Linked DNA regions of Oreochromis niloticus. The protein of the gene in region 2 binds, or shares a complex with, the protein of the main gene of each other region. Links are inferred from orthologs where the notes say so. Each region holds a gene or a part of one and is shown on either strand. Other genes may lie near its edges.

Evidence for each region. The genes of interacting proteins can lie anywhere in the genome.
Region 1: rrn3 (region 2) and taf1b share a complex: the UniProt entries of both Homo sapiens proteins name them as parts of the pol I pre-initiation complex. The link is inferred for Oreochromis niloticus from reciprocal best matches to the Homo sapiens genes RRN3 and TAF1B.

The regions. Positions count from the first base shown.
Region 1 is NC_031980.2:25,316,320-25,323,515, forward strand, and holds the start of taf1b (TATA box-binding protein-associated factor RNA polymerase I subunit B), read right to left. Parts: upstream 3,015-7,196; 5' UTR 2,843-3,014; coding exon 2,825-2,842; intron 2,099-2,824; coding exon 2,000-2,098; intron 1,740-1,999; coding exon 1,655-1,739; intron 1,585-1,654; coding exon 1,487-1,584; intron 1,420-1,486; coding exon 1,327-1,419; intron 932-1,326; coding exon 838-931; intron 734-837; coding exon 574-733; intron 491-573; coding exon 391-490; intron 315-390; coding exon 167-314; intron 63-166; coding exon 1-62. Other genes in the region: adam17b (disintegrin and metalloproteinase domain-containing protein 17), read left to right, coding at 4,473-4,557, 5,308-5,440, 5,530-5,663, 5,913-6,001, 6,073-6,253, 6,821-6,951, 7,028-7,114, 7,193-7,196. UniProt on the Homo sapiens protein: Component of RNA polymerase I core factor complex that acts as a GTF2B/TFIIB-like factor and plays a key role in multiple steps during transcription initiation such as pre-initiation complex (PIC) assembly and postpolymerase recruitment events in polymerase I (Pol I) transcription.
Region 2 is NC_031969.2:6,416,902-6,423,798, reverse strand, and holds the start of rrn3 (RNA polymerase I-specific transcription initiation factor RRN3), read right to left. Parts: upstream 3,015-6,897; 5' UTR 2,791-3,014; coding exon 2,695-2,790; intron 2,452-2,694; coding exon 2,395-2,451; intron 2,322-2,394; coding exon 2,232-2,321; intron 187-2,231; coding exon 57-186; intron 1-56. UniProt on the Homo sapiens protein: Required for efficient transcription initiation by RNA polymerase I (Pol I). Required for the formation of the competent pre-initiation complex (PIC).

The DNA of each region.
Region 1 (7,196 bases), on a different chromosome or scaffold from region 2:
GAGCGTTTGATCCATCATACCGGTGTGCTCCAACAGCCTGCAGACCCAGGGGTGGAGCTCATCTGACAGGAAACAGGCGTATACAGGTACACTCTGTCAGTGTTTGTATGTAAAGATGGTCGCCTCCAGAGACCACTATCGGTCAGAACACTGGAGCAGTTGTTACCGGGCAGGTTGACGTCGGACAGGTATCTGAGGCTGAGCAGCGCCGGGTGCAGCAGGGTCTGCCGACTGACTGGAGGAAAAGCAGGAAGCTGCAGGAACTGAATGATAGTCTCGGCCTCCTTATGAACGGCGTGATGAGACGGGACTGTCTGCAGAAACCAGGTGAGAGCTAAGTCATGCATCATTACCGGGGCCAGGTAATAAACAAGATGGCGGCTTTCTCACCTCGACTATGAAGATGAGGGAGTCCTTCCCTGTGACTTTCATCTCCTCGGGAAGCTGCTCATAGGCGTTCAAGTACGGGATGTGACCCTCATTCACAAGCCTGCAAAACATCACGTTCATTCAGCTGAAAAACTCTGGTTAAAAACCCTCAGCCACACAAGTGCAGGTGGGTGCAAGCGTTACCTGAGCAGGTCGCTGAGCGTCAGCGCCTCACGGCTCCATACCAGAGCCAGGTAGATCAGCGCCAGTGTCTTCTTCATGCTCAGCAGACTCTGGCTCCGCTTCTTCCTGGCCGACAGGTAGGTGAGGGTGTCCGAGGAGCCGGACCAAAAACCGGAGTTCTCTGAGGTTAAACGAGCAGTTCAGCTAATGCAAGAAACCTCATCTGGTCATGTGAAACTTTTACAGGAGCTTCCTGTCAGACTGAAAACGCTTCCAGCACCGTACCTGTGTTTGAGCCCGCTGTGCTTGCTGGGTTCGACTCGCCGTCTGTGCAGCTGATTGCCTCGCTGGCGCTCTCCGAGTCCGAACCCACGGCTCTCTGAGGATTTAGATTTAATTATTAAATCTCAAAAAATGAAATGAGTCAATAAAATGAAATCAATAAACTAAAAAATAAAATAAAAAAATAAATAAAACTTAGTAGATGAAGTAAAACATAAAATTAAAAAAAATGATTAAATATACAAAAAGAATACAAATAAAAAAATTGTGAAATAAGAAAATAAAGAAAACTAATCAAAATTAAGCATTAAAAATACAAATCAAATCAAATAAAAATACAAAAAAGAAAACAAAATGGATTTAAAAACAAACAAACAAACAAACAAACAAACAAACAAACAAAAAAACATAAGGTGAAACTGCCAGAAAAAAAATAATGCAGACGAGCAGTTTCCATGCACCACCCGAACCTCCGCTACCATAAAAACTCACCACTCTGAACTTGCAGCTCCTCACAGGGTCGTGGGTATAGGCCTGGCGACTTTTCTGCAGGTAACACCTCCACAGAGGACACAGCACGTCGTCCTAAAACAGTGACACGAGTCAGGCCTCTAATTGGATGCTTTGTGGTTAACAGAGAGAGGAGGCGGACCTTAAATTGAGGACTGACTCCGAGCGCGAGCAGAGCATCGGCCTGGTTCTTCAGGATGAACTGGAAACCCTCGCAGACCATCCACACGTGACCACGCTCTAAGACAAACAGACATGTTAAACAGGATATGACATCATCGATTTATGCTGCTGCTGATCGGACACTGACCGGCCTGCTTCTTGCGGGGTCCTCTGATGGTTGACACCCTGCTGGACAACTTTAAGAAGGACAGGTCCACCACCTCCCGGGTCCTCTAAGGACACAGTCACATGTTAGGCAGCAGAATAAGGAGGTCCTCTACACGTGGGCTTAACCACCAACACCATATTGTTAAAAGAAGCATCTTAAAGCATGTTTATGGAGTTCTGAATTCCCTATATCCCCATAACAACTTCACACTCATCCACCTGTGTAGTAAAAAGAGTGTCTCTGAAAGGGCACTGAAGAGACCCTGACACCTCAACCTCCAGCTACAGACCACTGTACAGGTCATAATGATGAAGATGTTTTTACCTCGATCACGTTGTGGCAGGACCTGCAGTAGAAGCGACCCTCGTCCGAAATGCCCCAGTCCACCGCAGAACACTGGGCACAGGGCACCGTGTACTCGGCCTGCACGCGCGCACGCACGCACACACACACACACACACACACACGTGGTAATGTTCAGGTGTTTCTGTAAATATTTTAATGAACAAATTAATCTTTCAGTTTAAAAAAAAAAAAAAAAAAGTACTTTATGTATGTAATGTTCACATTTAAATGCCTTTAAAAACACATTTATGTGAAACTGCACAGCAGCGCCCACGGGAAAGAACAACAATTAAACCTCCAGATCCCAAACACTTCACCCAGAAAAGCCTAGACGTCATTAACAACGATTGCTAACACAATCCTTCTGTGTTTATCGGGAATCATTTTTTGTGTTTTCATTTGTTTACTTTAGGGCTGCTTTGAGACTTTGAGTACTTCGACACACAATGTAGTTTAAATAAAAATTTAAATCAAAACTCATTAAGCGTTCACAGTTATTGGTACTGATAGACGGATGAGTTTATTTCAAACATTATAAATAAACTGTCGCTGATACTATGCTAACGGATTTTAATTAAAGAGAACAGTTATTAAATGTGTGCCGATTAACTATTCAGCGGCTGCACAGTCACACAAACCCGTTAAATGTCTGAAGTTAAAGTTGGAGACTGAATGTCGTGCCAATCATCTTAAAACACTAATATTTCTAATGGAGTTTGATAAGACCGAACTAGCTGACAACTGCGTTCACCGTAGGTTGCGTAAAATGAAACGAACTGTTTATGAGAGCACCGCGGGACTCACCGTATGTTCGTCATCCATCCCGAGTGGAAAACTGCAGCTTTAACACGAAACTTTGGATTTTATCGGCACTTCGTTACAACCGCACATGCCTCTGGTCGGAGATACTGGGATTCTTCTTCTTCGCGCTTGATTTCTGGGAGACTGAACGCCTCTCTGCTGCAACCACAGGCCAGATTACATACTTCAACTGCTTCTACTCAGCTGTAAAAATAAAATAAAATAAAATAAAATAAAATAAATTAAATACGTTTTATTTAAATATTGTTATAAGTAAAAATAAAAATAATACATGTGTTAAATGTGTTGGTCAGAGGGCCGGGTGGCGCCAGTGTCCGGCGCCCCAGGGTGGCTGTGGCTACAATGTAGCTTGCCATCACCAGTGTGTGACAATGTGTGTGTGAATGGGTGGATGACTGGATGTGTAAAGCGCTTTGGGGTCCTTAGGGACTAGTAAAGCGCTATACAAATACAGGCCATTTACCATTTACCATTAAAAATAACAAATGATAAATGTGACTTTTATACTTATTTTTAAATCTCCTAGTATAAATATACTGTGTATGAATTTTCTGGATGTTTCTCAGTCACTTTTAATCAGGAGAGTTTTTCTTCCTCCAGATGATGATGATGATGATGAAGAGTTCCTGATGTGCTCTGTGTTTCTAAGCGGATTTGATGAGGTCAGAGGTTATAAATAGATGCCAGATGTCTCTCTGATTCTCTTATATAAGCTGACCCCCCCCCCACACACACATACACACAGAATAATAGTTTGATTGATTTTTATTATTGATCTAACTGAGGCTGATCAGCTGTCATCAATCACTGTCACGGGAATGGTTTCGCGACTTTTTGTTGGACTCGCGCAAAGTTTACAACAAAACAAACACAAACGCCTGACGGATTTTCAAAATAACACGTGCGGGCAAACACTTTGTGAAACATTTCTAAAACAACTGAAGGTTTGATTCTTCCATTGCTATTAAAGAGGGCTATACAACACAGACAACCCACTAAACAAAATTAAGATTAAGATTAAGATGATTATTTATTGATTTGAAACATATTTGTATGCATACATTACTATTTGTATTTGAAATTGTGTAATTTTATTTGTTATTTATTTCTCTAGTTAATTTCATTAAATGAATTAAATGTTGTATTATATTTATTACTTTAAAATGAACTTTTTTACTTACGTTTTAGTTTTAAAGTTTCGATGACAGCACTCCACCTCCAGTCTAAAGGATTACCATCATTAAAATTTATTGGATTATTGATTATTAGCTATCGTGCGTTTGTTTTCGACAGTATTGATTAATAATCAAATGTACCCTTAAAGTCCCTTGCTTTTACTGTGAAAGCCCTCGGGCCTCCTTCCGCCCTCCTTCCTCGGCTCTCGGTAGCTTCACTCGGCCGCTCTCGGGCTTCCTGGTTCGGCGGAGTGGGGGCGTTTGTTCTGCCCGTTTCCTCTGCCCGTTTCCAAACACAACAAAGACTCGAGTGGGGTGAGATTTAGTGAGGTCGGTCCAGAGATGAGCTTTAAAGCTGACGTTTGTTTCTGAGCTGCGGTCGGAGTTTAGTCTGATGCTAGAACGCTGAAGCGAGCGGCGGAAGGTCTTCATTTAGTCCGTCCCGACGGTTCAACATGCGGCTGATTTTCGCCTTTTTAGCCGCTTTCACCGCTTTAACGGAGGCCGCCGTCCCCCCGGACAAGACGGAGCAGGACTTCAGTGAGTGTTTAAAACTGAATTTAATCGTAAATGTGTCCTTTGTGAGGACCGCCGGTCCGCTGGAAAAGTTCATGTTTGAGGCAGAAGGTATGGAGGACCGCTCATGCCAAACAAAAGTTTAATTCGCATAAAAATCACAGGTATTTAAATAAATGGCTGAGTCCAGGAGCATTCAACTTGATCATGATAGGAGTTTATTGAATTAAAATAAAGTCAAATGAGATTAAAAGTTAACATTTTGACCAGAGAGATATAACTATAGTTGAAAAAAAAAATCACAATACACTAACGTGGAACAACTGTGGGTTTAGAATTTATCTTAAAAATAAAAAAGTCATAAATAAGAAGAGAAGTGTAGGGAGTGAATTTTGACTTTTAGGAAAGAAAAAGCAAAACCTAAGAATAATACTGTGCCATAACGATGTTGGCATGACATCACATGTCACTGGTTTGTAATCATGATGTCATCATTTGACAGGAAATGAGGCGATGAAAAGTGATGAGTCCTGAAGTTTAATATTTTAACTTCTTTTATTGTTACAAACTTTTTCTTTTCATAAAAGGAAAAAGTGGATGAAAAACATACATTTATGTTAAATATAAAGTCAGCAGCATTTTATTTGTGTTAATTATTAACTTATGTGTTGATTTTGGTCACGTTTTTGAGGCACGTGTTGGCGTGTGGTGGAGGAGCTGAGGTATTTCACAGGATTTTCAATGCTAACGGGCAGGTTTGCGTTCTCTCTGTAGTGTCTCTCAGAGCGATGCTGGATGACTTTGATGTGCTGCCTCTCTCCAGCCTGCAGACGCACTCCGTCCGCCGCCGTGACGTCCAGTCTCAGACGCACATGGAGAAGCTGGTCAGCTTCAGCGCCCTGCAAAGGTAAGATAGCGGCATCCGTCCGTGCAGCTCGGTGCCATTTTAAAATCTTTGATTTGTGAAATCTGAACATCTCCTCCTCGTGTCTACAGGCATTTCAGACTCTACCTGAGGACCAACGACGAGCTCTTCACCAGCGACTTCAGAGCCGTGGTCATCAGCGAGGATGGCCAAGAGCGGACCTACCCGGTCAACAGGCACAACTACTTCACCGGACACGTCATCGGTAAACTGTTTAAGCAGAGCCTTTGTGGAGGTCTTTGGGGGTAGAATTCTACTAATTGGTTTCTTGTAAAGCTTGCAGAGTAATTTAAAAAAATCCCCAGATGTCCTTGAGAAGGTTCGCGAGGCCTTGTCAGGCTTCTTGTAGATGTTGTCAGGCTGCTACTTCAAACACACGTGTAGAATGCGTGTGGTGACCTTTGACAGGATTAATATGGAGTAACGGCTCCTTTAATGTGTTTTTGTGTTGTAGGGGAGGAGAACTCCCGTGTTCAGGCGCACATCGAAGATGACGAGTTCTCCGCTCACATCCTGACTGATGAGGCCGAGTACAATGTTGAGGTAAACACCTGAGACTTGGAGTAAGCGCCTGCTGAGTGATCGGTCCCTAAACCTTCCTCTGCTCTCTTCAGCCTCTTTGGAGGTTCACGTCGGCGCCCTCTGACGGTCGCCTCATAATCTATCGCTCGGAAGACATCCGCAACATCAGCCGCCTGCAGCAGCCTTCGGTCTGCGGCTACGTGACCTCTGACCCCAGTGACCTGCTCCCTGACAGCGTGAGAGCAGCTGTGGTGGAGGAAAAGGAGGAAGAAGGTGAGAAGCGAGGTCCTCGCCTGAACTTGGCACTGTGACTGCTTCCTGTTTGAGGGTAAAGCTCACACTGACCCAAAGCGACCACGCCCAGGTGACACAGGAACTGCGTTAACCACAGAGACAGCGAGAACTTCCTGTCACTGCGCAGCACAAACGTGAAAGTCCAGTGAAACACCTTCATCTGAACTGAGTACAGAGCGAGCGACACAAACAGGAAGTCAGTCAGAAAAAAGACTTTTAATGTGAAAAAAATAACAAAGTAAAAGCTGTTTAAACAAAAGAAACAAAAGAGAGCTTGCCATCCCAACAGGTGAAATCTTATTCCTGAAAAGTTTGAGCTTTAAATGGGGAAAAAAACCAAATCTGAAAAAGTGCTCTTAAGGTGGGGGAAAAAAACGATTTAAAAAAATCAGGTTTGGGTCAGAGAACAGAGATATTACAGTGAAAACATATATTTTCATATTTGACACACTCAAACGCTCATAAATAATAACAAATAAAAAAGAGCTTTCAGTGTCAAATGTATAAATAACATTGTCTGACGTGTTTCGGTGGTTTCTTGTTTAGAGTCGGCGTTCAGAGTGAAGCGTCACGTGCACGACCACAAGAAGAACACGTGTCCTCTGCTGCTGGTGGCCGACCATCGCTTTTACAAACACATGGGCCGTGAGGAGGAGAGCACAACCCTCAACTACCTGGTCGGTACCACCTGTACATCCATCACCCCCGCCATCCACTGACACTTAACCCCACCCCCTCCCAACTGTGTTTCAGATTGAGCTGATCGACCGTGTCGACGACATCTACAGAAACACGTCGTGGGGCGAGGGGTTCAGCGGGTACGGCGTCCAGATCCAGCAGGTGAGCATGCTCTGTTCCGCTTCCTGTTTGTGTTGTCCCACTGTGATTTTTAACGTGAAGCTGCGTTCCTGCCATCAGATCA
Region 2 (6,897 bases):
CTACTGTAACACGTGTATGAATCATGATTACTTCAGTACCAGTCAGAGTAACATACTGGGGGTGAAGTGGGAGACCACCATGTTAAGGCAGGCACACAAGTAGACAGTCTGTGCCGACACCAGGTTACCCAGAAAGGCCAGGTACTCGTCCACCACAGCCTGGCTCCGGCCCAGCCAAGGAAGCCTCTATAAAACAAACACACACACACACACACACACACACACACACACACACACACAGTGTAATGTCTTCCAGCATATAAACACAATCAGCTTTTTGGACGTCTGCTGATTCACACCACATGAAGACACCTAAGGCCAAATAATCCACTGCTAGAGTTAGAAAGTACTTTATCTTCGACCGTATCAGTGGACTGAACGGTTTAAAATGTGTAACAAAATAACAGAATAGATGACACATTCTCAACAGTATATCATACTGACAAAAGTTTGTTTGTCCATGTTAAATCAACCACGGCTTTTCCCGTGAATTTTTTTTTTTTCATTTTATATTTGACTCTAATATTGGTCCTGATTCAAACTTGAACGCTGGTGTGGGGAATCAGTGATCAAGGGTTATTGTCTGGTTACTACAGGAGCAGAAGGCTAAACGGGTGTGGATTAAACTAAGAACAACGAGTCAGCGTTCTGGATGTGCGGTTCTCTCTGCAGGTCTGATCACAATAATACTTTCCCTGTCAACTGTAGAGGCGACTGTTGTTGCGATTTGGTGCAATATAAAGAAAATTGAATTTCATATTGGAATGAGGTCATTACAAATTTGGTGAAGGCATACATGTTCTATATCTTGTATATCTACCCTCTTTTTTCTTGGCTCAATTTAATTTCTTTGTTTTATTAATACATACTAGTTTAAGATGTTGCTTTAAAAAGCAAATGACCTCTCACCCACACTGAGGAACAGGGCTAGGTTATAAGTTATATTAGTTTTATAACAATATTTCAAAGAAATATGCGATAATATTCATGACAATATAATAAAAATATACTAATCAAGGTATTATCAGTGTAGCTTGCAATAGGCATTTATTTATTAGAGAAAACAAAATAAAAGGCATTTCCATCCTCTTTTTTTTTGAATGAGTCTATAATGACAGACTGCCTCATTCAAAGTTTGAATTTACTGCCACAAGAGGCCAGCAACAGCATTACAGTATGTTATTTACAGTCAATGCAAGTCAATCAAATACAAGAACAAAACCTGCCTAGGTCCTGTTTTTAGGCTATAATAGTGCTGTGAAAAAGTATTTGCCAAATTCCTGATGACTTTTTTTTTTTTTAACATTTACATGTTTAAGATCAAACAAATTCATTTTTTCTCTCAGTTGTGGGGTAGTTTGGGTGGGTTGCGAGGCAGCAGGTCCTACACAGGCCAGTTTGTCTTGCACTCGCTTTTTTTGTCTGTTGCTGATGGAGTGGATGGCTGGTGTGACGGCTCAGTGTGCAGATGGGCCCCAGACCCGAGGACTACAGTTCATCCTGTGTTTGATTCTATATGTTTTTCTGTCAGGTGACATTTGTTCTGTAACTGTGGTGATTAGTGTGAGCAGTAAGTTAACTTGGGGTTTGCCCTGCGCACTCACATGAGAGGGGTGGTGTTGGCAGTATCTAACTAAACTATAATGGGCATTTCACATGTCATGTGAAAATCCCACAATAAAGAGAAAATTCATGACAGCTCCAACAGAAACATTATCAAATAAATTTAAAAATCTATAGAACATAAAAATATACTGGTAAAATGCAACATGTGATCAGTGCTGCAGAAACTGGTTAATCTGGTCATTTAGTGCACTGCCTGCACTCAGTGCTGCTGTTTAGGTCTAAAGTAACAGCTGCATATTAAAAGCTCTGAAACTTTAAAATGGATCCTTTTAAAAATTAAAGCTTATGCCTCTTTTCCACTCGTACCTACTCTGCTCGGTTTTGGTGATTTTACAATATAACTGAGTACCACCTCAATGTTCGTGGGGTCGTTATAGCAACACCCAAAAGTCCCATGAGCTCATTTAAACGCTACACAACAATGGCGGACACCGAGGCAACGGTACATCTGCTGCTAAGCCGTCTGCTTGCCATGCTGACAGGCTAATCAGCAGCATGCAGTTTGTTGATGTGATGTTTGTTTTAGATCGACTCAGATCACTTGGACCCCCGGTGGAGTAAATATAGTACTCTTCTCCTTGCATCATGTTAATATTTACACTCACCAGTATAGTATAAATGAGCTGTTCATGATCCTTGGTCAGGTGGGTCACACAAGTCCGAAATTCTTGCAGCCAGTTGATGATCTGAGCATCCTGTCGGAGGAGAGGGCGTTCACTGAGAAGCAAAGTCCACCACACCACAGGGTGCCCTCACACTAATGCTTACCTTTATCTCAGGATCAACCAGCTGATGTTTCAGGAGTTCATAATCACTCGAGTCTCCCTTAAAAAACAAGGAGAAACAGCTCACCAAAAAAGCAGTTCACCAAAAGCGTAGGAAACATAGAGGTGTTTGTAAACAACTTTACGAAGGTCAGCAGAATCCACAGACAGGCCAGCAGGTGGGTCTAGATTCATTTAATAACTTAGTGGACCATCTCGTAGATGTGTCACCAGAATCAACAACCCTAAATAAATATCTCTCTTTATCATTTTCCAAGAATGACAACCCTAAGATATAACTCACGTGTTTGTGTTTCTCTAACGTCTCCGCAACACTACCTCCAAATCTGACCGTCTTCACAGAAGGGGTCTTCAGAAAGTCTCGACCGTCTATTTCCATAACCCACCGGGCAGCTAACGCTGGTCTTTGCTTGTTAAGCTGAAAGACAGAGCTGGAAAGGAGACTCGCTCGTTACATCTCTCACACCGTACAGCTCTCGATACTGTGGCGTTAACTAGTTTGATCAAAGGAAACACGCTTCCGGAAAACAAACTCCAGGACGTCCCGTCCAAAACCACGCGAAAGTAACAGGAAGAGAACTGCGTGTTTACGGAAGTGATTGTTCGGAGCAGGAGTGTCACATTAAAGGAGAACGTTCAAGGAATCCATTTCGCTCAGGAAGGTTCCTACCTGAGTGAAGTAACTTTATTGAGCTTATGTACAAACAAACACAGGCTGTGAGTCAAGGCTCACACCGTAACAATAACACAGGCTGAACAAATACAACAAACGAACAAACAAAAAGAATAAATGTAGCTTTTATAAAGCAACAAAAAAGGAAAGAAAAGCAGAGTAAACAGATTAAGATAAGATAAGATAGCCTTTATTAGTCCCACACGTGGGAAATTTGTTTTGTCACAGCAGGAAGTGGACAGTGCAAAAGTTATGAAGCAAAAATTAGAATACAATAAGAATAAATACAGTACACAACTGTACTGTACAGAATAGAATAAAATCAAAGTTGGATCAAAGATAACACATTTTTAACTCACTATCACAGAGCATGCAGCCATTTACATCAATTTTTATCAACTCAGCCTGATGAAATTATTATCATTGGATAAATTTCATGTATCCAACTAATTATATGCACCACTGACAAAGAAGCACATATCATGTAAATGATCATTATAATACTTCCGTTATACTTAGGTGTACTCTGTTAGTTTACTTAGTTCATAGTTGATAGCCCGTATTATATTAGTATGAATCTTAAAGACCTCATACTACTCTATATTACCCCAATAGAGCACTCGCTCTCACACTGCAGGCTTACTTGTGATTCCGCTCCCAGTTTGGATTCGTCATACAACAGTATTTTTTCTAACACTTTAAACAATATCTTACTGTTCAAATAAGAATTTTTTTTTTTAAATAGAACTAGAACAAAAAATAAAATCATTAAAAGCTGCCTAATGATTGCTTTGCCTCACCACAAGAACACATTATTAACAACCCAAGAAAGCTAAAACTAGAATTACATTAAGTAATTACCAAGAAAACGCAATTTCTGATGCAAAGGCTGTGTTTGGCGTGCTTTAAACAAGGCAATAAATCTGGAAAATTCTTTGCAAAGTTAAAACTAAATAAAGAAATAAACAACTATTAATTCTATAAAGGATTTGACCAGAAGCATTACTTATGATCCTCAACAAATAAAGAAACCTTTGAAAGACTTTTATATAGCTTCATACTCATCACAGTGTCATCTCCAGTGACATCTGATGCTGTCAGATTTGGGACTCATCTGCAAGACCACCCTTTGTGGTGGGGGCAGTCTTATATATACCCCCCTCCCCCCCACACACTCCCTCATACAACACATCACTCACACACGTAGGATCTACGTGTGTGAGTCATTACAGTTCACTGTCCTCCCCTCAGCCTCAGGTCTTCAGCTGGAGAGGAAATGGCGTGTCACAAATTTAGAGGATCATCATTTAGCCTGGAGAAATAGTTTGCTGCTTTATAAGAAAGCCCTCCGCAAAGCCAGAACATCTTACTATTCGTCACTGATTGAAGAAAATAAGAACAACCCCAGGTTTCTCTTCAGCACTGTAGCCAGGCTGACAAACAGTCAGAGCTCTACTGAGCCAACCATCCCTTTAACGTTAACTAGTAATGACTTCATGAACTTCTTCACAAATAAAATTTTAATCATTAGAGAAAAAATTACCAATAATCATCCCACAGATGTAATATTATCTACAGCTACTCTTAGTACCATTGATGTTAAGTTAGACTCTTTTTCTCCAATTGATCTTTCTGAGTTAACTTCAATAATTACTTCCTCCAAACCATCAACGTGTCTTTTAGACCCCATTCCTACAAAACTGCTCAAAGAAGTCCTGCCATTAATTAATTCTTCAATCTTAAATATGATCAACCTATCTCTAATAATCAGCTATGTACCACAGGCCTTCAAGCTGGCAGTAGTTAAACCTCTCCTGACTCTCCATTTACATGAACAAATTGGAGTCTATTAGATAGATATGATACAAACCACTGCAGCACAGTACCTGTAGTACCTACAGCGTGCTCTAATCACTCTAATAGGATATTATGGTCAACAGTATCGAACGCTGCACTGAGGTCTAGCAGGACAAGCATAGAGATGAGTCCACTGTTGAAGCTTGAAGGCCTGTGGTACATAGCCAATTATTAGAGATTGAAGCATAAATGCAGACACCATTTTATTTAGACAGAGATGGTTGTAAGTAACCCAGAACAGTTGGAACACCTGTAGGAATTAGTAGCACCAGCTTTCAAGACTTGAACCGCCGTTGCTGCAGAACAGCTTTAAATCGTTAACTCATTTTGTGTTCCCTGAAAAAGGCCTTTTTGTATAATTTTTGGGTAACCATTCTTTTTTTAAAACCTCTGTCAGTTCACCACTTACCTTTGTACCATTTCAAGCTATCCATTGAACTTCAACGACTTAAATTGCAATAAATAACTGGAAAAACTGGGGTGTTCTAAAACTTTTAACTGGTAGTGTGTGTATATGAATATATGAATGTGACAGGTGAGACCTGAGACTGGGAACCGCCCTTTGTAGGTGGGGCTGGGTGGTTGATTGGTGGCAATATTCACTTTCTTTGGGTGCCAGCTCATGGAGGAATCAGTGGAAATGATTGGCGGCGGTTGAGCACGACTGTTCCATGAGTGGGTCAGCTGTGTGCAGCTGGGAAGACTATGTTGATTTAGACGAAGAAGAGGAAATGCCTCTGGAGCAAATGCAAAGTGAGCAGAGGAGGGGAAAGCGTAAAAGAGGTGGGAGCAGTAGTGGTAGGGATGATTCTTTAGAAGCTAGAGAGAAAATGTTTGCTGTTCTGAGATTTACCGAAAGAACACAAGTCAATATTAAAAAACTGAGTCAGTTCGTGTTGACAGCTGAACTTAACAGTAAAGTGGGAGATCTAGTTTCTGCTAAGGTACTGTCAGATGGAAATCTTCTTGTGCAATGTGTAAATGAAGAGCAGTTCAACAAGGCTTTGAACTTAAAGCAGTTGGGGAAGTTTAAAGTGGAAAATGTTGGGCATGTGGGTGCACAGACAGGAGGTGGATGCAAGGGGGTAATTTCTGGGGTCCCCATTAGTGTGAAAATGGATGATCTGAAAAGAAAAAATCAAAGGAGGAAATGTGATTTCTGTGGGCAGGTTGAAAGCAACAAAAGAAGGAATTAAGGTAGATAGTGAAAGTATCCTGAGACACTTTGAAGAAGGAAATCTGCCAAGGAAAGTGTTTTTGGGTTTCATCAGTTATCCAGAATGAGCCTACGTTCCAAAACCTCTGAGGTGCTTTAACTGTCAAAGGTTTGGACACCTAGCGAAAAACTGTAAGGAAAAGAGGAGATGTGCTCTGTGTGGTGGAGATCACGAATATGGGAAATGTGGAGATGGAGTTCAACCAAAGTGTTGTAGTTGTGGTGGGAGTCACAGTGTTGCGTATGCTGGATGTGAGAGAATGAAACAAGAAAATCATATTCAAAAAGTGAGGGTGGAGAAGAAGATCTCCTATGCTGAAGCAGTGAGGGTGATGAGAGTGAGTGAACAGGTCAACGTCAACCCAGGACAGGGTACATCTCGGGGTCAAGGAGTTCCCCAGATCAACACGAATGGTATGGTTATTGATAAGATGGCGTTGGTTACATTCATTGCAGGAGTGATAAACACCACAGCTGATGTGAAATCTAAGCAGGAGAAAATTCAGCTTATTGTTAAGCCAGGGCGATTAAACACTTGGGTTTAGTAGGACTGACATGGGAAGAAGTGAGGGACAACCTCAATTATCAGTCAAGTCAGGAAGCATGATATTATTTTATGTACTCATGGTACTTATCCTTTAATGGAATGCAAGGAGTCTGTTGGCCAATGGCCAAGAGTTGAAGCATTTCATCAAACTACTTAATGTTAAACCGGATGTTATTTCTGTCCAGGAATCTTG